Linked DNA regions of Xenopus tropicalis. Each later gene encodes a partner of the first gene's protein in a complex. Links are inferred from orthologs where the notes say so. Each region holds a gene or a part of one and is shown in the gene's direction. Other genes may lie near its edges.

Region 1 (4,368 bases):
CCTAAAACACTGGAATCCTCTAGTACCAAAATAAAAAAGATTAAAAAAAGCCTATAAACTCTCAATTGGTTTTGGTCAAGTTTACCCATTTTCTTGTCCTAAATTAGCCATTGGTCTGTTCATAAATTGTGAAAAAGCTAGTAGCCATACCTAAAAATATACTGGGACCCTCTGATGCCACTGTGAAAAAAGCCTAACAACTACAGATTACTGATGGTATATTTCACCAATATATTCTTTATCTCCCCCATGAAACAGGAAAACCCCCTGCCAGCACTGCTCCTTACCAATACCCTTTTGGGGCCCAGAACCTTCTGCGGCAGAACTGACAGGAAACCTGCACACTTTTAAGTTACGACCAGAGTGAATGTAAATTATTTATTTTGGTTAATTTCACCCTTTTACCGAAATCCAGCCCTTATTTACACAAAACCAGACACCCTCTGATAAAAAGAGCCTAAAATATATATTTTACCCATTATATTCTCATAACTAAACCTTTTAGGCACAAATTTGTGAAAATTATTTCCCTAATTTGCACATCAAACATTGGGATCCTCTTATACCACCAAAAAAATAAACCCTAAACCTTTGACCATTTGGTCAAATTGACCCATAGTCTTACTAAATTAGCCCTTGGTTCTGTCTCCAAACTAAAAAATATGGTCTGTCTTCACAAAAACACTAGGCCCCTCAGACACCAATGCTGTCCACGTAATTCACCCATTCTATTCTCAAAAATGACTCTTTTTAGCCCTAGATTGTCAAAAACATGGTCTCAATTTTCACATAAACGTGACTTTCCAAAAAACATAACCTTAGACCAGAGTTAACAATTACTGTGATACCAACATGAAAAAAAGCCTAAAAGATTAGGGCTGGTACGTATCACCCATTTTATTTGCTAAATAAGTCCCTGAACTGAGAAGAGCATGGCCCGAATCCTCACATACAGCGACCTGCACTATTGGCTAAATATCAGGAGCAGAGTAACCTCAGCAAAAGTATTAAAAGTGCGAGCGGGAAAAATGACTAGTAGTAAAAATTAATAAATATAACATAAAATAAAAGCCGCGAACAGCAAGCCCATGTTTTTAACTGCATCACGTAGTGAAATAACCGAGGTACGCTGTATATATAGCTGTGTGGTGTGACGTCACATTCTCGCGAGATCAGACTGGCGATATCTAATTCACCTGTCTGATTTAAGGAGCTGGATTATTGGAGGTATTTTAACGCATATTAAAAGATTTGCAAGACACATGGACTGTTATGGCTCCCAAACTATTAGACGCACATCGCGCTTGCTATTTGTAGCCTCAGTCGCGCAGTGACATGACGCACGGATATCAGCGGTAGGTTACAGTGCGCCGCTAAATCTCGGCTGCTACGCGTTACGTGGTGGCCAATTAGAGTTGCCGATTCGGTTGCCTAGGCAATTGCGACGCGCTTTTCTGAAATATGGCGGAAGACTGGAATCAGGATGTTGGGGAGGCAGTGTACAGATCCCGGGACCCCATAAAGAATCTGAGGATTCGGTGAGTGTCAAGGGGTTATTGTTGTTCGCAGCCCTACTCGCATGTGGAGCGCTAGTTACTCAGTGTCTTATTTGTCTTCAGAGTGACTCTGCAGCGGGTTACCCCGGCCATTGCTCTGGTACAGCGGGTGCAGGAGGAGGATGCAAATAGAGGAGGACTCGAACTACAGGCGCTGCACAACAACCCAGAGGCGAACAGTGAGTGATCCGGCCATATTGTGTGTTTCCCTTTCATTTTTAAGGCTGCATGGTGCCTGGGCGCAGGCTGGCTGTAGGGTGAGCTGTGCCTGGGCGCAGGCTGGCTGTAGGGTGAGCTGTGCCTGGGCGCAGGCTGGCTGTAGGGTGAGCTGTGCCTGGGCGCAGGCTGGCTGTAGGGTGAGCTGTGCCTGGGCGCAGGCTGGCTGTAGGGTGAGCTGTGCCTGGGCGCAGGCTGGCTGTAGGGTGAGCTGTGCCTGGGCGCAGGCTGGCTGTAGGGTGAGCTGTGCCTGGGCGCAGGCTGGCTGTAGGGTGAGCTGTGCCTGGGCGCAGGCTGGCTGTAGGGTGAGCTGTGCCTGGGCGCAGGCTGGCTGTAGGGTGAGCTGTGCCTGGGCGCAGGCTGGCTGTAGGGTGAGCTGTGCCTGGGCGCAGGCTGGCTGTAGGGTGAGCTGTGCCTGGGCGCAGGCTGGCTGTAGGGTGAGCTGTGCCTGGGCGCAGGCTGGCTGTAGGGTGAGCTGTGCCTGGGCGCAGGCTGGCTGTAGGGTGAGCTGTGCCTGGGCGCAGGCTGGCTGTAGGGTGAGCTGTGCCTGGGCGCAGGCTGGCTGTAGGGTGAGCTGTGCCTGGGCGCAGGCTGGCTGTAGGGTGAGCTGTGCCTGGGCGCAGGCTGGCTGTAGGGTGAGCTGTGCCTGGGCGCAGGCTGGCTGTAGGGTGAGCTTTTCCTGGGCGCAGGCTGGCTGTAGGGTGATCTGTGCCTGGGCGCAGGCTAGCTGTAGGGTGAGCTGTGTCTGGGCGCAGGCTGGTTGTAGGGTGAGCTGTGCCTGGGTGCAGGCTGGCTGTAGGGTGAGGGGTAGGGGCAAATTTAATCCAGGACAAAACCAAATACTGTGCATGGAGCAAAATTGTAGTAAATATATGTATGGCGCTCTTTTTGGTATTTCCACTACTTTTTAGCACTTGAAGAAGAGAGTTGCCCTAAAACATTTGCCTTGATTGCCAATAAAACTACGTTTGCACATTGCTGTATTAAGTGCCATTTGGATAATTTACTGGATTTCTATGAAGGGTAGGGTGAGCTGTGTCTGGCTGCAAGCTGTCTGTAGGGTGAAAAGGTAGGCTGAGCTGTGAACACAGAGTCAGGTACAAGGTGATCTGTGGGGTGAGTTGTACGTTGACTGTCTGTAGGCAGCAGAGAAGAGAATGTGTAAATGGGCAACAGCGAGCAAGGATTTCTCACATTCAGTGACTCTTTGCTTCACATTCCTGAACTGGAAGAGTATTGCATGTAGTATGAATACATGCACCTAGATAGGCTTCTATTCAGATATAAGTATCCTGGCGATATTCCTGTGGCTATGTATAATTCTTTCCCTGCCAAAAATGGCTTGCTCTGCTTTATGCCTGAAACTATAACTGAATTCTCCAATTGCAAGATCTGTCTGAAAGAACTATGTTTTATCTTGTTTCTACTACTATACAAAGTAGAAGCCTTTAGTACATTAACAAATTTTGTGCATTTTTGTTTTTATTATTTTTGTTGTCCTAATTGTCATGATCTTGTCTTTTAAGGGGGGCCTCATCCTAATGAGGAGAAGGAAGAAGTGGTGATTTCTTGGCAGGAGAAACTTTATAGCCAGGTAATTTCTTTTGTTGGCCTTCTCTTCCCACTAGCCCATAGCAAATAATTGTAAGTGGCCTAGTACTGAATTCAAATTTATTTTTATATATTTTCCTATATGAATAGCACATCTAATGCAGGTTACTAAAACAGCTGGTAAGCTGCTTAAAGGCAATCTATATCTCATATATGTTAATTGGTGCTTTATAAGTAAAGTTACAAATTTTGGTCCCTTATGAAAAGTGATGCTGGTACATTTAATGCCTTATTGTCTGGAGCCTTTTTAGTGATTTGTTCTGTTAATGCAACAGCAGGAATATGGGGTTCCTATTCTAGAACTTACAGAATATGCAATTAAATGCACAGTTGAACATTATATTAAAGGAGAAGGAAAGGTTCAATCAGGGAGGGGTGCCAAATGTTAGTGAGTGATTGTAATCACTTACATGATACCCCAGACTTGTGCTCCTGTTAGCAGAAAACTGCACCAGCTCGGGGTACATGTGAGTAAGCGTTTCTCTTCTTATCTTCTTCTTTCTTCAAAATCTGGGGCTGCCGTATGCACAGTAGAGTGAAAATGACGGATTTCTTTTTGTTAAAGTTCAACTTTTCACTCTAGTGTGCATGCATCAGCCCCAGATTTTGAAGATGTACCCCCAGCCGGTGCAGTTTTCTGCTAACAGGATGTCCAGCCTGTGGTATTGGGTAAGTGATTACAATTACTGGAGGTGCCTTCAATTTGGTACCCCTAGCGATTAAACCTTTCTCTTTTAAAGGCAATAATAGGGAATCTATGGCTGAAGTAGGCTACTGGAGGCTACAGAACTTCTGCAGCTATTTCTCATTAGCCAAGCCACAAATGTTATCTCTTGTTCTGTTTATTTATTGCAGTTTGAATATGAACTATACCAAAATGAGGCTGCCTGCAGGACACCTTTAGATCATCAGTACTACCAAGATGTATTGTCTCTTGAGAGGGGTGGGGGGCGTAAAAACAGACGCATCTTCACCTATACGGACC
Region 2 (4,501 bases), on another chromosome or scaffold:
CCCTGAGAGACCTTCATCTCCTTCTTCCCACCATCTCCTTGATCCAACTGCTTCTTCCCTGAGAGACCTTCATCTCCTTCTTCCCACCATCTCCTTGATCCAACTGCTTCTTCCCCGAGAGACCTTGATCTCCTTCTTCCCACCATCTCCTTGATCCAACTGCTTCTTCCCTGAGAGACCTTCATCTCCTTCTTCCTACCATCTCCTTGATCCAACTGCTTCTTCCCTGAGAGACCTTCATCTGCTTCTCCCCACCATCTCCTTGATCCAACTGCTTCTTCCCTGAGAGACCTTCATCTGCTTCTTCCCACCATCTCCTTGATCCAACTGCTTCTTCCCAGAGAGACCTTCATCTGCTTCTCCCACGATCTCCTTGATCCAACGCTTCTTCCCTGAGAGACCTTCATCTGCTTCTCCCCAGTATCTCTTTCTATCGATCTATCAGTTTACCTTACTACACCTTCTCTCTCCCTCCTGCTGTTCTGATCAATCAGTAATCGGAACAATAGAAAGGCATTCGTAAGCCAGCCATACACGCACAGATGTTATCATCTCGTACAATATTCGGTGCGTGTATGGTGACTTGTAGAGGCGACCAATATCCCAGAGGCTGTGGATATCGGTTGAAGGCGCCATTGAAGGCGCCCGAGCAAAATCTACGTTCAGGGCTGAAGGAGGTAGAATTTCTATTGTTTCTACCTCCTTATCTGATGATTCAGCCCTGAACTTCAGCTACGTGTATGGCCACCTTTACTTGTATGCTCTCCATCCATTTGGCTTAGGGGCCACTCTTTGGAGAGCGTTCCAGATGGGCCAATGCCTGATTAGAAGATCTAGGCAGTTTGTTATACAGCCCTACACATTTTGGGGAGTGAAAGATAGCTATATCTGTGGGCCCCAGGGTCGGACTGGGGGGGGTGCAGGGCACACCAGGGCTCCCGCCCTAACCCCCCCAACCCCCCACAGGGTCCCCCACCCGACGTCCTCCCCTGAGCTCCCGTAAATTTAACGCCTCAGGGGAGGAACGGTCGGGCAGGGGGAGCGCCGGGATTTGTCCCGGTGTCCCAGCGGCCCAGTCCGACCCTGGTGGGCCCAGATAGTCAAGGGGTATGCACAGGGAGGTGCTGCTTCCCCCGCCCCCTGGAGGGTGGGAAAGAAACAATGTTTCAGGAGCCTAAACCACCTGTATAGAGGATATATAAATCCCTTGTGTAACTTCCCATGCAGTTAATTCCCTCACTGTGGGAAGTAAAGTCATAATGACGTCATTATACCCAGTAATATTCCCAGGGTGCATCAGGCCTGTAGTAAGAAGGTAGCGTGGCCGAGCGGTCTAAGGCGCTGGATTTAGGCTCCAGTCTCTCTGGAGGCGTGGGTTCGAATCCCACCGCTGCCAACTCAGCTTTTTATTTTCCCCCCTGCATCTATGGCTTGATATATTTTCGCTCGAACTGTAACTTCTTTTCGATTAGCCGCCATTGTGGAGGCTTTGCATCTATATATATGTTAGTTTGGGACAGGTTTCATAATCAGGGATGTGTCGTCGCTTTTACGACAAAGCGCTAAAACTTCCAGCTACAATAATGGCGGACTTGCCTTCTGCCCCATGTGACCGGGGCTCAGTAGGTGAATGGTCAGAATCTCCTGAATCCTGCGCGTTTTGGTTAGGACGCTGAGGGGTTGCTAGGCAACGGTAAGCGGCGGGTTTTCGGCTCGGAGATTGGAACGGGTAAGGGTTTTGTTCCAGTAAGTTACTGGTTTAACTGGTCTCTGCCCGGGGAATACTTTGTATGTGAGATATTTAATGGTTAATTTATACAGTATAAGTAGCTATAAAAGTCTGTATATATTATATGAGAGGGTTGCCGGCCTGTATATACAGTAATAGGAGTCAGGGAAGCCTGTATATATTATATGAGAGGGTTGCCGGCCTGTATATACAGTAATAGGAGTCAGGGAAGCCTGTATATATTATATGAGAGGGTTGCCGGCATGTATATACAGTAATAGGAGTCAGGGAAGCCTGTATATATTATATGAGAGGGTTGCCGGCATGTATATACAGTAATAGGAGTCAGGGAAGCCTGTATATATTATATGAGAGGGTTGCCGGCCTGTATATACAGTAATAGGGGTCAGGGAAGCCTGTATATATTATATGAGAGGGTTGCCGGCATGTATATACAGTAATAGGAGTCAGGGAAGCCTGTATATATTATATGAGAGGGTTACCGGCCTGTATATACAGTAATAGGAGTCAGGGAAGCCTGTATATATTATATGAGAGGGTTGCCGGCCTGTATATACAGTAATAGGAGTCAGGGAAGCCTGTATATATTATATGAGAGGGTTACCCGCCTGTATATACAGTAATAGGAGTCAGGGAAGCCTGTATATATTATATGAGAGGGTTGCCGGCCTGTATATACTGTAATAGGAGTCAGGGAAGCCTGGATATATTATATGAGAGGGTTGCCGGCCTGTATATACAGTAATAGGAGTCAGGGAAGCCTGGATATATTATATGAGAGGGTTACCGGCCTGTATATACAGTAATAGGAGTCAGGGAAGCCTGGATATATTATATGAGAGGGTTACCGGCCTGTATATACAGTAATAGGAGTCAGGGAAGCCTGTATATATTATATGAGAGGGTTACCGGCCTGTATATACAGTAATAGGAGTCAGGGAAGCCTGTATATATTATATGAGAGGGTTACCGGCCTGTATATACAGTAATAGGAGTCAGGGAAGCCTGTATATATTATATGAGAGGGTTGCCGGCCTGTATATACAGTAATAGGAGTCAGGGAAGCCTGTATATATTATATGAGAGGGTTACCGGCCTGTATATACAGTAATAGGAGTCAGGGAAGCCTGTATATATTATATGAGAGGGTTGCCGGCCTGTATATACAGTAATAGGAGTCAGGGAAGCCTGGATATATTATATGAGAGGGTTACCGGCCTGTATATACAGTAATAGGAGTCAGGGAAGCCTGTATATATTATATGAGAGGGTCCCTGGCCTGTATATACAGTAATAGGAGTCAGGGAAGCCTGTATATATTATATGAGAGGGTTGCCGGCCTGTATATACAGTAATAGGGGTCAGGGAAGCCTGTATATATTATATGAGAGGGTTGCCGGCATGTATATACAGTAATAGGAGTCAGGGAAGCCTGTATATATTATATGAGAGGGTTACCGGCCTGTATATACAGTAATAGGAGTCAGGGAAGCCTGTATATATTATATGAGAGGGTCCCTGGCCTGTATATACAGTAATAGGAGTCAGGGAAGCCTGTATATATTATATGAGAGGGTTGCCGGCCTGTATATACAGTAATAGGGGTCAGGGAAGCCTGTATATATTATATGAGAGGGTTGCCGGCATGTATATACAGTAATAGGAGTCAGGGAAGCCTGTATATATTATATGAGAGGGTTACCGGCCTGTATATACAGTAATAGGAGTCAGGGAAGCCTGGATATATTATATGAGAGGGTTGCCGGCCTGTATATACAGTAATAGGAGTCAGGGAAGCCTGTATATATTATATGAGAGGGTTACCCGCCTGTATATACAGTAATAGGAGTCAGGGAAGCCTGTATATATTATATGAGAGGGTTGCCGGCCTGTATATACTGTAATAGGAGTCAGGGAAGCCTGGATATATTATATGAGAGGGTTGCCGGCCTGTATATACAGTAATAGGAGTCAGGGAAGCCTGGATATATTATATGAGAGGGTTACCGGCCTGTATATACAGTAATAGGAGTCAGGGAAGCCTGTATATATTATATGAGAGGGTTACCGGCCTGTATATACAGTAATAGGAGTCAGGGAAGCCTGTATATATTATATGAGAAGGTTGCCGGCCTGTATATACAGTAATAGGAGTCAGGGAAGCCTGTATATATTATATGAGAGGGTTACCGGCCTGTATATACAGTAATAGGAGTCAGGGAAGCCTGTATATATTATAAGAGAGGGTTGCCGGCCTGTATATACAGTAATAGGAGTCAGGGAAGCCTGGATATATTATATGAGAGGGTTACCGGCCTGTATATACAGTAATAGGAGTCAGGGAAGCCTGTATATATTATATGAGAGGGTCCCTGGCCTGTATATACAGTAATAGGAGTCAGGGAAGCCTGTATATATTATATGAGAGGGTTGCCGGCCTGTATATACAGTAATAGGGGTCAGGGAAGCCTGTATATATTATATGAGAGGGTCCCTGGCCTGTATTTACAGTAATAGGAGTCAGGGAAGCCTGTATATATTATATGAGAGGGTTACCGGCCTGTATATACAGTAATAGGAGTCAGGGAAGCCTGGATATATTATATGAGAGGGTCCCTGGCCTGTATATACAGTAATAGGAGTCAGGGAAGCCTGTATATATTATATGAGAGGGTTACCGGCCTGTATATACAGTAATAGGAGTCAGGGAAGCCTGTATATATTATATGAGAGGGTCCCTGGCCTGTATAT

Evidence for each region.
Region 2: mks1 (region 1) and tmem107 share a complex: the UniProt entries of both Homo sapiens proteins name them as parts of the tectonic-like complex. The link is inferred for Xenopus tropicalis from reciprocal best matches to the Homo sapiens genes MKS1 and TMEM107.

Annotation. Positions count from the first base shown.
Region 1 is NC_030678.2:41,734,528-41,738,895, forward strand, and holds the start of mks1 (Meckel syndrome type 1 protein), read left to right. Parts: upstream 1-1,328; 5' UTR 1,329-1,461; coding exon 1,462-1,538; intron 1,539-1,619; coding exon 1,620-1,735; intron 1,736-3,298; coding exon 3,299-3,366; intron 3,367-4,238; coding exon 4,239-4,368. UniProt on the Homo sapiens protein: Component of the tectonic-like complex, a complex localized at the transition zone of primary cilia and acting as a barrier that prevents diffusion of transmembrane proteins between the cilia and plasma membranes.
Region 2 is NC_030679.2:144,535,823-144,540,323, reverse strand, and holds the start of tmem107 (transmembrane protein 107), read left to right. Parts: upstream 1-1,622; 5' UTR 1,623-1,729; exon of another isoform or gene 1,730-1,746; intron 1,747-4,501. UniProt on the Homo sapiens protein: Plays a role in cilia formation and embryonic patterning. Requires for normal Sonic hedgehog (Shh) signaling in the neural tube and acts in combination with GLI2 and GLI3 to pattern ventral and intermediate neuronal cell types.